Linked DNA regions of Stegostoma tigrinum. The protein of the gene in region 2 purifies or fractionates together with the protein of the main gene of each other region. This does not show direct contact. Links are inferred from orthologs where the notes say so. Each region holds a gene or a part of one and is shown on either strand. Other genes may lie near its edges.

Region 1 (7,065 bases), on a different chromosome or scaffold from region 2:
CCAACAGGGTGACCTGTCCTTTCCTGTTTCTAACTTCAGCCCATACTATCTCATTAGATGAGTCCTCATCAAACCTCCTTTCTGCCACTGTAATACTGTCCTTGGCAAACAATGCCGCCCCTCCCCCTCTTTTACCACCTTCCCTGCTCTTACTGAAACATCTAAACCCCGGAACCTGCAACAACCATTCCTGCCCCTGCTCTATCCATGTCTCCGAAATGGCCACAACATTGAAGTCCCAGGTACCAACCCAAGCTGCAAGTTCACCCACCTTATTCCGGATGCTCTTGGCGTTGAAGTAGACACACTTCAAACCACCTTCCTGCCTGCTGGTACACTCCCGTGACCTTGAAACCTTAATCATGACCTCACTACTCTCAACCTCCTGTACACTGGAGCTATAATTCAGGTTCCCATCCCCGTGCTGAATTAGTTTAAACCCTCCTGAAGAGCATTAGCAAATTTCCCCCCCAGGATATTGGTACCCCTCTGGTTCAGGTGTAGACCATCCCATTTGTAGAGGTCCCATCTACTCCAGAATGAGACCCAATTATCCAGGTATCTGAATCCCTCCCTTCTACACCATTCATGTAGCCACGTGTTCAACTGTTCTCTCTCCCTAATCCTCATCTCGCTAGCAAGTGGCACCGGTAACAAACCAGAGATAATAACTCTGTTTGTTCTAGCTCTAACCACTCTAGCTCCTTGAATTTTTGCCTTACATCCCAATCGCTTTTCCTACCGATGTCATTGGTGACTGCATGGACCATGACTTGGGGCTGCTCCCCCTCCTCCTTAAGGATCCCAAAAACATGATCCAAGACATCACAGATTGGCACCTGGGAGGCAACACACGCCAACCGCGAGTCTCTCTCGCTCCCACAGTATGCGTAACGTGTATTAATATGTAGAAACGTTGACAAGTTAAGATATTCTCCCATCTGTTTTGGTTATTGACCAATAAATATTAATTGTATACTGAACCTATTCTTTTCGCAGCACCAGAAGGAATACAAGAGATGGAAAGGAGCATGGGAGTTGGAGGATGTGGAGCCAGAATGCATTAGACAGGACTCTAAATTGCTGGACTAAACTGTACAGATGATATAATTGAGCACCTGTACCTCTGAGATTGATAACTGGCCAATACCTATGCATGCCAGAGTGTAAACATAAACCACTACCACTAAGTTGGCTGCCTTGGGCTAGGCCAAGGGCCAAGAAGGGAGACCTGAAGAGTGTGGAATTGGTTTGACTTATTTCTAGTTTTCAGTCATATTATAAAAGCAAAACGGAACCACTAATGTACAGAGACATGCTAGAAGTCTAGGAGCGGCACAATCAGCAAGATAGTACCAGCCTTGGATGAAATAACAGACAATGTCTGTGAAAATCATTGGTAATCAGCCTTTCAGTGGGAATTCCTGCCCCTGCCAAACAGAAAGCCGTGGAATGTCCCAAAAGATAGCTAGAGAGATCGTGAGAGAGAAACACATGCAACAATATCCCCAAATGCCAACTAGAATGCATGGGCTGATTTCTGACAGATGGGTCAAGTTGTGAGGTGGATGTTCTTCAGTGGGATTTGGGTTCTTGTACCTGTGAGAAATTAGGTCTGAATGAGGGTAACATTGGATGGAATAGTTCTGCACCATTGAGACTATATTTTTCTCCTACCTACTTGTCCATTTCCTCATAAGAAGAAAGGTTTTCAAATTAGTTTTATTACGAGTGGAATTGCATTATGGGTTTAAATTAATCCGTTTTCCAACATAAAGAGGGTACTGGTGCAATGCTGTGTACTATGTTGCTTCATTCTTGATGCAGTGCAGGTCCTAGTTGCTGCTGGATTTTTCTGCTTGTTCAATGTGTTTTATTTGCCAGTTCAGTATTGTTACATTGTATAAGCACTATGCAGGTATATTACAAATATTTTTAATCTGCTCTGGTGTGCCTGATTTTTACTGTTTATATTGGTTCAGGGCTGAGTGTATTGTGCTGACTCAATGATCTTTCATTCCGTGGAGTTTGATCTGTGCTTGCTCAGGATTGTTATGCTGCATTCAGAACACCCCCAGCCAAGGCAATGCATCCTTTTCTTTTCCTTACGGTAGAAGATAGCCTTCTGTGTCAGTTAGCTGTTGGTTCATGAATTGTAATAATTTCATTTGTGTTCCACGTTGTTGCATTGCAGACTGCACGGGTTGAAGATTTTTGCAATACAATTGCTGCTTCCCTGGATCAGGATTGCAACCTGAAAGTTTTTACAACGTGTCCGTGCAACCCTGCCTCGGTGTCGCAGTGCGCGTTGGTTGAAGGCTTTAGTACTGCATTTGGTGTTGCCCTTGCTCCACTGATTAAGGGCTGTTGACTGAAAGTTTATACTCTGGGTCAGGTTTGTCACGTGGGTTTACAGAAGTTTCTGCACTGCATTAAATGCATTCCTGGCTCTGGGTGGGTGTATACTCTCATTAAACATTGGCTGCATGCACTTCGTGGCTACACTGCAGTGTCTCAGAACAGTTATATTGCTCTAGTTTAAATGGTAGTATTGCTTCAACTCTGGATGGTTGTATTGCATTGGCTCAGGTGGAGGCATTGCTCTGGCTTTTGATTGGTCCAACACACTGACTAGTTGCATTTCTGCCTTTGTCTGACTGCATTAGAACATATTGCTCTGGCTCAGATGGGCTGAATGCATTAAATGCTTCTGGGTGGCTATATTGTTCTGGTTTGGTAGGATGCAGGGAACAATGGTATTGCTTTATTACTAGAGCCTGGAGATGGACAGCAATTTTATTTTGTTTTCAAGTTTGGTGGCTATGCAAAAAGCTATTGCCCAATCTGAATTGGCCTGGAGAATCTAGTAGTGAGCTTTTTTTTGCAACAGTGCAGTCCATATAGTGTGGCACATCCACAATGTTGTTATGAAGGGGCTTTCAGCATTTTGACCTAGCATCAATGAAAAAATGACATATATTTCCAAGTCAGGCGTGTGACTTGCAGGTCAACTTCCATGTGGTGGTTTTCCCATGTATGAGCTACCCTTATCCTTCCAGGTGATAGAGACCATGTGTTTGAAAATTGGTATAAAGGGAGTGCTGGTGAGTTACTGCAATTTTACTCTTAGATGCCTCACACTGTTCTTACTGTGCATTGTTGGTGACGAAGAATGAACTTTGAATGCATAAACTGATGAGCTGCCAGTGCAGCAGGCTGCTTTGTCCTGGATGGAGCCAAGCTTCTTGAGCATTGTTCGAGCTGCACTCATCCTGCAAGGGAAGTGTGTTCCATCACACTCCTGACTTGTACCTTACAGAGGGCCATTTAGCTCAGCTAGTTGGGTTAAATTCCAGCACCAGCTGAGATTACCACGAAGGACTTTCCTTCTCAACCTTTTCCCCTCAATTGAGGTGTGGTGTTCCTCAGGTTAAAACACAACTTTCGAATAAGAGAGCAGTCCGAAGATCCAGTGAGGCGATGGCAAAGTGGCTTTGGGAGTTGAATACCTCCGTCCTGCTCTTGTAGCCTCAGCGATCGTCAACCATGATACCAGCCCAGAGGTGCTGCTCGGACAGGCTGGGGTTGGGGAGAAATGGTGCGGACAGTTCTGAGACAACAGTGTGGAGCTGGATGAACACAGCAGGCCAAGCAGCATCTTACGACTACAAAAGCTGACGTTTTTGCCTGGACCCTTCATCAGAAATGGGGGAGGGGAGAGAGGGGGAGGCTGATCGAAGATGGATAGAGGATTACAAGAGAGTTGCAGTAGGAGAGGGTTCCCCTGAGGTTTATCCGGAAGTAGGAGGGTAACTTCTTGAGGTTCGGCAGTGCTGATACGCGCGCGCACCCGCTATGGTGGAGACAAGCACCGTGGGCGGAGCAATGTTGATACACGCAACAGGGCGGAGGCACGCGCCGTGTGCGGGGCGAGAAAGGGCAGCGCGGATACGCGCGCGCACCGCCAGGGGGCGGAGCCACAGCGCCGCTTGCGTGCGCCGATGGAGAGGGGCAGGGTCTTTGGGGATAGGGGTGGGTCTGGCGTCACTCGCTCCGCCCCCTCAGCCTTTGGCGGGGGGAGGGGATGGGAAGAGTGCGTCTCCGGGACAGGGAGAGTGTGAGAAACGGGCTGGTCGGCCGGGAGGTGTAAAGACTGAGCGGACACTGAACCGTGGCAGGGACACGAAGAGCAGGAGGGTGAGGGGCGGGATGGTGCTCGGATCTATGGAAAGTTAATCTTTAAACCCGCGAGTAAGCGGAAGAGAGAGACGGTGTGGGTGAAATATTTCCAAGGTAAGGGCCGGCCGTTTAATTATTAACGCCCGGGGTCGGCGCTCTCGGGGCCTTTCCCGCCCCCCACCCGCCTCTCAAACCCCGAAACTAACCGCGCGAACAGCGGGACTGTGGGGAGGGGAGGAACGTAGGTGCTTGGGGTGCAGTAGGGAGACCCTCGGAGGAGGGATCTCCCGAAATGCGCCTGCCGAGGTTGGGGCAGTCAGTGGGGAAGAGCCAAGCGGCCCGGTGGTGGTGAGGGGAGAGTTGACTGTAGGCCCGAGACTTCCGTGTCCAGCATTTGAGCGGGGAGGCTACCTGCGCTCCTGTTCTCAGGGATGGGTATTTTGTTTGGGGATGGATGGTCTCGCCTCTGATCTGCGATGGGATTTCCCTGCTCCTCTGTACTACGCAGTGAACCCGGGCCTGGCTGTAAAAGCAGCATCGTCCCGATGTCCGAACCAGGACATATTAAAAGCTTACCCGTGTCATTTTAATTCATTATCGATGATTTCGTTGAGCTTTGTCTTTTGAGGCGCAGCTAAAAGGGCGGATTAAATGCTTTTTTAAAGGCGCAACTTTTTTTTGTCCATTTTCAATGTATTCGTTAATGGTTGGGATGGGGAAGTGAAATTCAATCAATGTTTTGCTGCCTGGATGACGTTGAATTAATTACTACATCACCCTGGGCAACTGAAGTGACATTCTGCGTGATTGTTATTTTACTATCATTTTGATTCGTGGTTTTGTTTCTATATATTGTAGGTGGCACTTTTGAATGTATAAGACGCGTGCATAAAACTCAATTTTATTTTACATAGTCAGTAATGAGTTCACTGCACTTTTGCATTTTTGGGACCTGGATGAATATTCTTTTTCCCCACCCCACTGGTGCTGTGGCCAATTTTTGCACCTTAACGCTAATTGGTTAACTTTGGCTAGTTCAAGACTGTATTGAATCTCTGATTATTTACATTCACTGACTGCAGGTGAGGGTCAAGAGAAACTATAATGCTGCAGAAATCAATGCCTTCAGATAGGAAAGAAGAGAACATTTCCCGAAGAAAGTTCATACGTGAGAACCAGTTGGTGCAGCACTTTCCTGTGTAGTGTATGTTATATTTTAAGATGAGTGAATTATTTCACATTAATGTTGATTTTCACAGAGAGCTGACAACACTGTGTGCAAATGGCAAAATTGCTAGAGGTGTTATGGAATAATGTATTGATAGAAATATGAATTTGGAATAACAATGGTTACTGAAGAGAGTTAGTGAAAACCACAGGCTTCAAGCTTGGTACCTTCATAAATGTGTGATTGGAATAGTTGTGTGGGCCACTTAATTTTTACAGAATCATAGAACTGTTACAGTGCAAACGAAGGCCATTCATTCTATCATGTCTCCATCCGCTCTGAGTGATTCACTTAGTGCTGTTCCCCTAGCTTCTCTTCGTAATCTTGTGCAAGCTTCGTTTTTGGATAACAGCTCTTTTGAATGTTTCAGTTAATCCTGCTTCCACCACACTCGGGTAGTGCATTCCAGACCTTAACCATTCATTGTCAACTCTCTTTTGCTCCTTCTATCAATCTCTTTAAATGTATGCCTTCATTCTTGATCCTGTTATGAGTGGTGAAAGTTTCTCCCTATTCACTCCATCTACACGACTTGTAATTTGAATACATCTCTCAAATCTCTTCTCTGTTTTCTTTGCTCCAAGGAAAACAGACCTATCTTCTCTAATCTATCATCTTAACTGTTTTTCTTCATCCCTGGAACCATTTTAATGAACATTTTCTTTCTTTCCAGTGCCTTCACATCCTTCCTAAAGTATGGCGGCCGGATTTGGTGCAGTACTCTAGTTCAGACCAAGCTAGTGTTATATGCAAATTTAAAAGAAGTCCATTGTTTTGTACTCTATGCCCTATTAATAAAGCTTAGGATCTTGTATGATTGTTGAACCATGCTGTCAACTGTTGTACCACCTTCAATGACTGTTGCACATTTGTTCAGGCCCCTCTGCTCCCGCACCCTCTTTAGAGATGCTCTCTTTACATGAGGTCTACATGTAATTCTGACCAAAATGAAATAATTCACATTTCTCTGCATTGAATTTCATCTGCTATCTATCTGTCCATTTCACCAACCTGTCCTTTTTGTACCTTAAAGTTCTAAATTATGACCTGTGCAGTTCGCAATATTGCCATGTTTTGTCACATATAAATGTTTAAATTGTACCATCTGCACCAAGGTCTAGGTCATTAATATCTTTGGAAAATTAAAGCTCCCAATATTGATGCCCTGGGGAGCTCCATTACAGATCTTCCTGTAGTCTGTTTTTAAAAAAAAATCCATTATTGAGTCAGTGTTATACAACACAGAAACAGACCCTGTGGTCCAACTCGTCTGTGCCAACCAGATACCCTAAACTGATCTAGTTCCATTTGCCTGAATTTAGCACATATCGCTCTAAACCTTTACTATTCATGTACCCAGCCAGATGCCTTTTAAATGTTGTAATTGTACCCACCTCCACCATCTCCTCCGGCAGCTTATTCTATATGCACACCACCCTCTCAGGTCCCTTTTAACATTTTTCCTGTCTCACTTTAAATCATTGCCCTCTACGTTTGGAATCCCTTACCCTCATGATTGTCTAAATCTTCATAAAAGTCACCCCTCAGCCTTTGACATGACAAGGAGAAAGTCCTGGCCTTTTCAGCCTCTTCCTATATTTCAAACTTTCCATTCCCAGTAACATCCTTGTAAACCTTTTCTGAACCCTTTCAAGTTT
Region 2 (7,491 bases):
GGTCTGGGTGGGATGTATCAAGGGGCGGTGTGGACTTGTTGGGCCGAAGGGCCTGTTTCCACACTGCAGGGAATCTAAATCTAATCACTCTGGTTACACTCTTCCACCTCTTCCATCAGGCAGAAGAGACAAAACCTTGAAAACACTTACCTACAGATTCAAGAACAGCTTCTCCCTGCTGTTATCAGACTTATGAACAGATGTCTTATAGATCAGAGTTGATCTCTCTCTGCACCTTCTCTGAAGCTGTAACACCATAAGCTGCATTCAGTTCTTTTGCCCTGATGTACTTATGTAAGGTATGAGTTGCCCAGTTAGCACACAATACAATACATTTCACTGTATCCCGATACATGTGACAATAGTAAATCAAATCAAATTTTAACTTTAAAATTTCAATCAATGACAGATCAAGGTGGAGCTGGAAGAACACAGCAGGCCAAGCAGCATCAGAGGAGCAGGAAAATTGAAGTTTTGGGTCAGGACCCTTCTTCAGAAATGGGGAGGAGGAAGGGAGCTCTAAAATAAATAGAGAGGATGGGGTGGGACTGGGGATGGTAGGTGGGATGGTGATAGGTGAGTGCAGGTAGGCAGGTTAGGGATGGGTCAGTGAGGTAGGAGGGGTGGATAGGTGGGTGAGAAGATGGACAGGTTGTGTCAGGTCAAGGAGGCAGGGATGGGGGGGGGTTGGACATATGATGAGGCCTGGATGAGGAGATTTTTAAACTGGTGAAATTCATGTTTAGGACGTTGGGGCCATTTGGATTTATGCATGTTTAAAACATGGGAAGTTAAAAGCAGCACAAAGGCTGTACATTAACAGCTGATGAAGTGGCTTTTACACCTTCAGAAAGATGCTTGTCACATTGATTACCAAAAACAAAATGCTCAAATCCTGCATCTGACATAAAAAACAACATTGAAATTAGTTTCTCATATCCAGATAAAAATGCTTGTTAAAAGAAAAAGTTTGAAATATTGGTCAGATTTTGGAGTTGGGCAAATATTAAGCTTGTCAACCAAACCTTTTCTACATTTTGCATTGAAAAGTTGCTGTTAGCCAATTCCTAAAAAAAAGCAAACCACCTTTGACTTCTGTGAAGAAGGAAAGTCACTATGGAGCCAATCAAATTGAAGAATCTAAATGTGAAGTCTCTGCTGGAATACTTGATTCACTATCAAATCTGGTTCATAAAGAGAGAGAAAGAAATTTTAGATTAAAATGGAAAACAAAAGAAACAACTATTTCTATTATAGAGATAACAAAGTGTGGAGCTGGATGAACACAGCAGGCCAAGCGACATCTTAGGAGCACAAAAGCTGACGTTTCAGGCCTAAGGTCTACGCCCGAAATGTTAGCTTTTGTGCTCCTAAGATGTTGCCTGGCCTGCTGTGTTCATCCAACTCCACACTTATTTCGGATTGTCCAGCATCTGCAGTTCCCATTATCCCTGAACTATTTCTACTTATGCTTTAAACTGATTTTCAATCACAACAATTTCTTTAAAAATGTTTCAAAAAAATCGACATCTGAAAGAATCAAACTTCATATCAGGGAAAAAATAATTTTCAGAGGCACAAGTTACTTGCCAGTAATTAAAGCTTATTACACTACTAAAATAATGCTTTTTTGGAGTCAGGTGATCCTGAAAAGAAGGACTTGCATTTATACAGTGCTTGTCATGACACTGCCAGTTTCAAAGTTTTACAGAAAATGGATCATTTTTTGAAGTGTAGTCTCTGTTGTAATGTACGGAACACAGCAGCTAATATCCACTCGGCAAACATTCATAAACAGGCATGTAATAACAGCCAGATAATCTGTTTCTTCTTCTGATGTTAGTAGCTATGAGGATTTATAGCTGGCCACCCAAACATTTCAATGTCCATTTATGCTGAATGTGAGTCCAGGAATATATAGAATACTTGCAAAATCTCAGCACCTATCTTAAAAAGCCACTATTGACAAGTAGATCCATCACTAGCTCAGCTGTGCCAGATCCACCTTGTACAGACTAGGCTGAGATAACAGAGTTCTGCAGCAGACCAAAGCTCCTAGTTTACAAAAAGCTGTCATCATCATAATCCAGGACAGCAGTGAGACCTGGAATCTGAATATTCAAGAAATTCCAACCACACAGCCTCCACCACATCTTCTGAATTCAATGGGAGGACAATCACAAACTCCAAATGTGCAAAACATCTATAAAAGCCTGTTCTGCATCCGGGCAAGCACTGTCAATCCAGAGCTGACCTGCACGGTTCTCGATATTTGCCCTGGACATGACAGGGGGTAATCGCTGCCCCTCTGTGTGATTGGGAAGCTGGAGATCCTGCTAGGATGGGTTGGTGCTGATGTGGGATGTTCTCTTCCCCCACGGACCAGCAGAGGAGGCCCTGACACTGGGCCGTGCAAAGTCTGGACTGAGTTTAGCCCCACTCTTGGGTCAATGCAGTCTCAGTGTTTCGAGGAATGCCCAATGCTGTAGGAAGAAGGTCAATGTCCTTCTCCACTCCACCAGGATAACTGTCACCATCTTCTCTCTGATACCTCATCCTCACTCTCTCACACTGCACCCACCTGGGCCTGGTGCATGTGGTGACATTGGAGAATCCGCACAGCAGCAAAACATGTCACCTGAACAGTGGCAATTTCAATGTTGGTTGGGTCCAGTGTAGATGGTGGCAAGGCAGTGGAGGGGAGATGGCGTTACAGGTGTCCTTTAGGGTGAGCTGGCTCACAACTGACAGACTCTCTTTTTTAATTCTTAAAAATATTCAAAATCATGGCAACAGTGGAAAAGCTTTTCACTGTATTTTACTGTGTTTCTGACTGTAATATACATAGAACATAACAGCACAGTACAGGCCCTTCAGCCCTTGATGCTGTGCCGACCTGTCATACCGATCTGAAGCCCATCTAACCTACACTATTCCATGTACGTCCATATGCTTATCCAATGACGACTTAAATGTACCTAAAGTTGGCGAATCTACTGCAGACAAAGCGTTCCATTCCCTTACTACTTTCTGAGTAAAGAAACTACCTCTGACATCTGTCCTATATCTTTCACCTCTCAATTTAAAGCTATGCCCCCTCGTGCTTGCCGTCACCATCCTAGGAAAAAGGCTCTCCCTATCCACCCTATCTAACCCTCTGATTATTTTATATGTTTCAATTAAGTCACCTCTCAACCTTCTTTTCTCAAATGAAAACAGCCTCAAGTCCCTCAGCCTTTCCTCGTAAGACCTTCCCTCCATACCAGGCAACATTCTAGTAAATCTCCTCTGCAACCTTTCCAAAGCTTCCACATCCATGTGATGATAAAATCATAAATCACCTCCCACCATACTCTCCCACTCTCACAACTGACTGCGACATTCTCCCTCAGTCACCCTCACGCACCACAACCCCCCAACACCCCTAATCTTACATGTCTGATGTCTATTCACTTACTTGTGACACCATTCCATTAGTACCAACTGAATTAGCTGTGCCATCCCTTTCCACCTGCTGTAATATCTGCCTCCCTCTCATTCCAGAAAGAAAACAGCTCACAATATGGCAGAAAGACTCAAGATTCACCCTTCATGAGGAGAGGACCCTGCAGTGTTTGGAGACGTGTGGGTTCGCCATGGGAAGTGCAGGGAGGTGTCTGAGTGGGAAACAGAGCGAACATCGTTACCCCAGCCATCCTCTGGGTGGCGCTCCAACTACATGTTTCTCGCCGCAGTGACATCACGGTCACGGTCCCAGACCGCGTCCAATCAGAAAGAAGGTATCTAATGGCCTCGCCCTATGACGTATCAGACCCCGCCCCAAACGAAAACCAAAAGATTTGAGGTTCAGACGATATTGACAAACTTAGTGATTTATTGACAAATCTACCGTTACTATTAACTAATTTATTTATCTCGTGTTCATTAATTTATCAACAAATCCATTACTTAATTTATTAAGCCTCTGTTATTAACTAATTTTTCAAAAGCTTTTATTAATTTATATACAGTTATTTATTAACAGGCTTGTTTATAAATTAATATATTAATACACTTATTAATTATTTAATTAAGACTAATTAATACATTTATTAACAGACTTACAGGGGCATGTATTAAGTAATTTATTAATCCACTATTATTATTAACTAATTTATTTAGTTTACATTATCAGACTGTAAACGATTCATTAAGTTGACTGTTATCATTGAACTGAACTACTGAGTATCATTTATTAGTTAACGTAGTAATTAACTTATTATCGACTTTCTTAACACATTTAACCCAGTGTTACTTATGTATTAATTAACCCTGATTATTATTTAGTAACCCAGTGTTATTTATGTATTGATTAACCCTGATTATTATTTATTAACCCAGTGTTACTTATGTATTAATTAACCCTGATTATTATTTATTAACCCAGTGTTATTTATGTATTGATTAACCCTGGTTATTGTTTATTTATTGACTCAGTGTTATTTGTATATTAATCTATTGGTTCGCTCCCTTTTTGTTGACAATTTCCGGCACGGTCGGGCGGAAATACAATCTGGGAGAATTCCTGACGGATTGTGATCTTCGCACCGGAAGCGGAAACAAGCGGCTCCGGGAGTCTGTGGAACTTTCAGCCGAGAGCGATGGGCGCCCGGGACGACGAGTATGATTATCTGTTCAAGGGTGAGTCCCCGGCCCCGGCCAGCGAGGTGCCCGCTTCCCCCTGTCGGGCGACTGGGCCCCGGGGCCATGCCCCTTGATGGGGCATCAGTGCCCTCTTTCCCCCCGATCAATCCCCCTCCCCTTACCCAGGCCCCATCGGCCCATCTCCCCATTCCCTGGGGGCTCGCTCCTCTCGCCCCGTCGGCCTTTGTTGGTGTTGCTGTTGAACCAAAAGGTTGTTAATGATTAGACTTTGCTGAGAGCTGCATATTAATAGGAGGGAGCATTTCACTTGGGAATAGGCCGTCGTTATACTTCACACGTAGCAGGTACTTTCCCAAAACTGGACATTGCTGTGTTTAACCTTTATAAAGAAAACATCCTTAGTGCCTACTGTCGATGTCTTAATTCTGAGTTAGTTTTAGTTGACTTCAACTGAGTTTTTAATATAGGAGAAATGGCCCGAATTTAGGGATTGGTGTGAGCTCCAAGAACTCCGGTAGAATGGATCTGGTGAAGAGTTAAATTGTCTTGCAACTGTTGGGCATTCTTCAGCTTTCGAAAACATTTGTCATACTGTGTTTTATTTGTATAGACTAATGGTAGGCCTGAAATGTTTGTACCCTTGTCTGCCAGATTAATGTAGCTAATTACTACTACTTTCTTGACTATAAAGCTCACTTCACTTAGTGCATTTTTGACTGCCAACTGAAATGGGGGTTCTTTTTAATCCAAAGCCTGAAAATTAATTCAGTTTTAAACAAACTACTGCAATTTGTGTGGTGTTTGAACTTTTGGTTCAAGTAGTTGGGGAGATACTTGTATATGACATGGCATGTGTGTGTACAGAATGTGACTTAACCTAAGTGGGTCAAATATTTAGTGGTTTCTTTTGAACTTTCTTTGAAACATGATATTATTCTGACTAGACAGATAACTCACCGTTTAAGAGGTAACAGTTGAAGGTACTACATTGTAGTTCAGTCTGTGGCACTTGATTCTTCTAACCTTCGATCACTGACATCCACCCCTACAATGTGGCAGCTATTAAGATTTTGAGGGATTTTAATTGACAGCTGTGTTTTTAGCACTGTAACAAAGCAATGAAGTACCAATAGTGTCATCACTAATCTTCCTGCATTTAACTTGTGACTTATCTCTGACTGAGGAGTAAAATTGGGGCCTGCAGCCAATATCAGTATTACGCGGATCCACTATTCAGTTCTGAACTGACACCAGAAACAAGTGGAGGTTTTCTGTTTCTTAGCACCTGTCAATGGTGTACCACTGATCAGCTGGTCCAAAGCTAAGTAGCATTGATGTCTTTGAGAATGTCTCCTATGAATAACCACAATTTTCCACTTCTTCATGTTGTTGTAATTAATTTTACTGTTTGCAAATTTGGCAATTACAGAAATTCCAGAATAGGGAGTTGCTAGAATTAAATTACAAATCCTTTTTGTGAAAAAATTGACAACGATTGCAATGCCACTACTAACTGACAACTTGTTTTTAATGTGGATTGAATGTAGATTATTGGAAACTAGCACTTCCAGTTGGAAGAAAAGTTTCTGGTCTCCAATGGACTGGAGAAAGGAAGGACTTAAATAGCTATGTTGTATAGGAGAGTAACATTTGGAGTAGCTTATAAAAACAAATGAAGCAGGTGTGAGGATATGGACGTCTAAGTATTGTAATCTTGGGCTTTCTGATTTCGTCTAACAGATGCAGCATAAAGGGATCCAGTACTGTCTACAGAGTACTTGTTGAGCTCTTACCACCTCTTCCTTTATTCCTGATAAATTTATTGCAAACTGTACTAGTTCCAAAGTAATAATGAAATCTTGTGCTTGTGACTTTTTTCTAGGGAGGAATGTTCTACGAGGTTGAAATTTTAAATTGAATTAAAAATTCACCAATGGCTAAATGATGCAATCTATTTCTTGGCACCACCTGCGATCACTTTGTTCGGATTTCCTTGAAGCCATGTTGCGTCATGAATTCAACTGAATCTGTTCAAGGGCTAGTGGTTCTAAAAAAGGAATGGTTGGGTGTGTCCACTTTGTACCAAGTGACAAATTTGGGGAGAAACAATGGCCAAGTTAGCAGTAAGGAATAGTTTTGGGAAATGAAGGCGTAATAAAAGATCATCAAATGATTTTTGTCATGCTGTTTACTGGCAGTGCCAGTATTTAAAATGCAATTTTGCACAAATGGAGAGGCCTGATTCACTACCACCCAAGCCAGCAATTTTAGACTGGGATTTTTAATCTCTAGTGCTTTTTTATTTACATTCTGATTTTGGGTTTTGCATCAAAGGAAATGCTTTGCATTTTAAAGCGATTCATAACAAAGGCATCTCATTTTATTTGGGCTTTTAAGTTACAGAACAGTTCTGGGTGTGTTGCTTTTAATGAGTACAATTATCAACTGAGGATTACTGTTCTGAGAGATGATACTAAAATTGAGGTGTTGGTGTTAATACTTGTTTGAGTAACTGCTCTGACCCAACAGCCCACTAAACCATGATGAGGACTGCTCTGAGTACTACTTTTGGAGAGCTGGGACAATAGTGATGGGATGGAACAAGTTGGATTGCAACTAGTACGACATCATGGCTCCAGTTGTATTTTCAGACAATGGTGTGGTTTTTATACACTCTAAGTATTGCAGACACTGGTCTATCTGACATTTGTTCTGCTGTAGTTAACTTCAGACTGAGTGCTTCCTGTTTTGTAATCCAGGAATATGAAATGCTAACTTGAATCAGTTAAACTTTGGTTGTCATAACACTGAGGAAAACAGCTTGAATTTTGTGAAGATGATGCTCTT

What was found. The genes of interacting proteins can lie anywhere in the genome.
Region 1: the proteins of rab11a (region 2) and evi5a purify together in Homo sapiens (co-immunoprecipitation; 3 studies listed by BioGRID and IntAct, with this or other methods). This does not show direct contact. The link is inferred for Stegostoma tigrinum from reciprocal best matches to the Homo sapiens genes RAB11A and EVI5.

The regions. Positions count from the first base shown.
Region 1 is NC_081361.1:86,050,577-86,057,641, forward strand, and holds the start of evi5a (EVI5-like protein), read left to right. Parts: upstream 1-4,065; 5' UTR 4,066-4,293; intron 4,294-7,065. UniProt on the Homo sapiens protein: Functions as a regulator of cell cycle progression by stabilizing the FBXO5 protein and promoting cyclin-A accumulation during interphase. May play a role in cytokinesis.
Region 2 is NC_081386.1:35,467,197-35,474,687, reverse strand, and holds the start of rab11a (ras-related protein Rab-11A), read left to right. Parts: upstream 1-4,491; 5' UTR 4,492-4,640; coding exon 4,641-4,680; intron 4,681-7,491. UniProt on the Homo sapiens protein: The small GTPases Rab are key regulators of intracellular membrane trafficking, from the formation of transport vesicles to their fusion with membranes.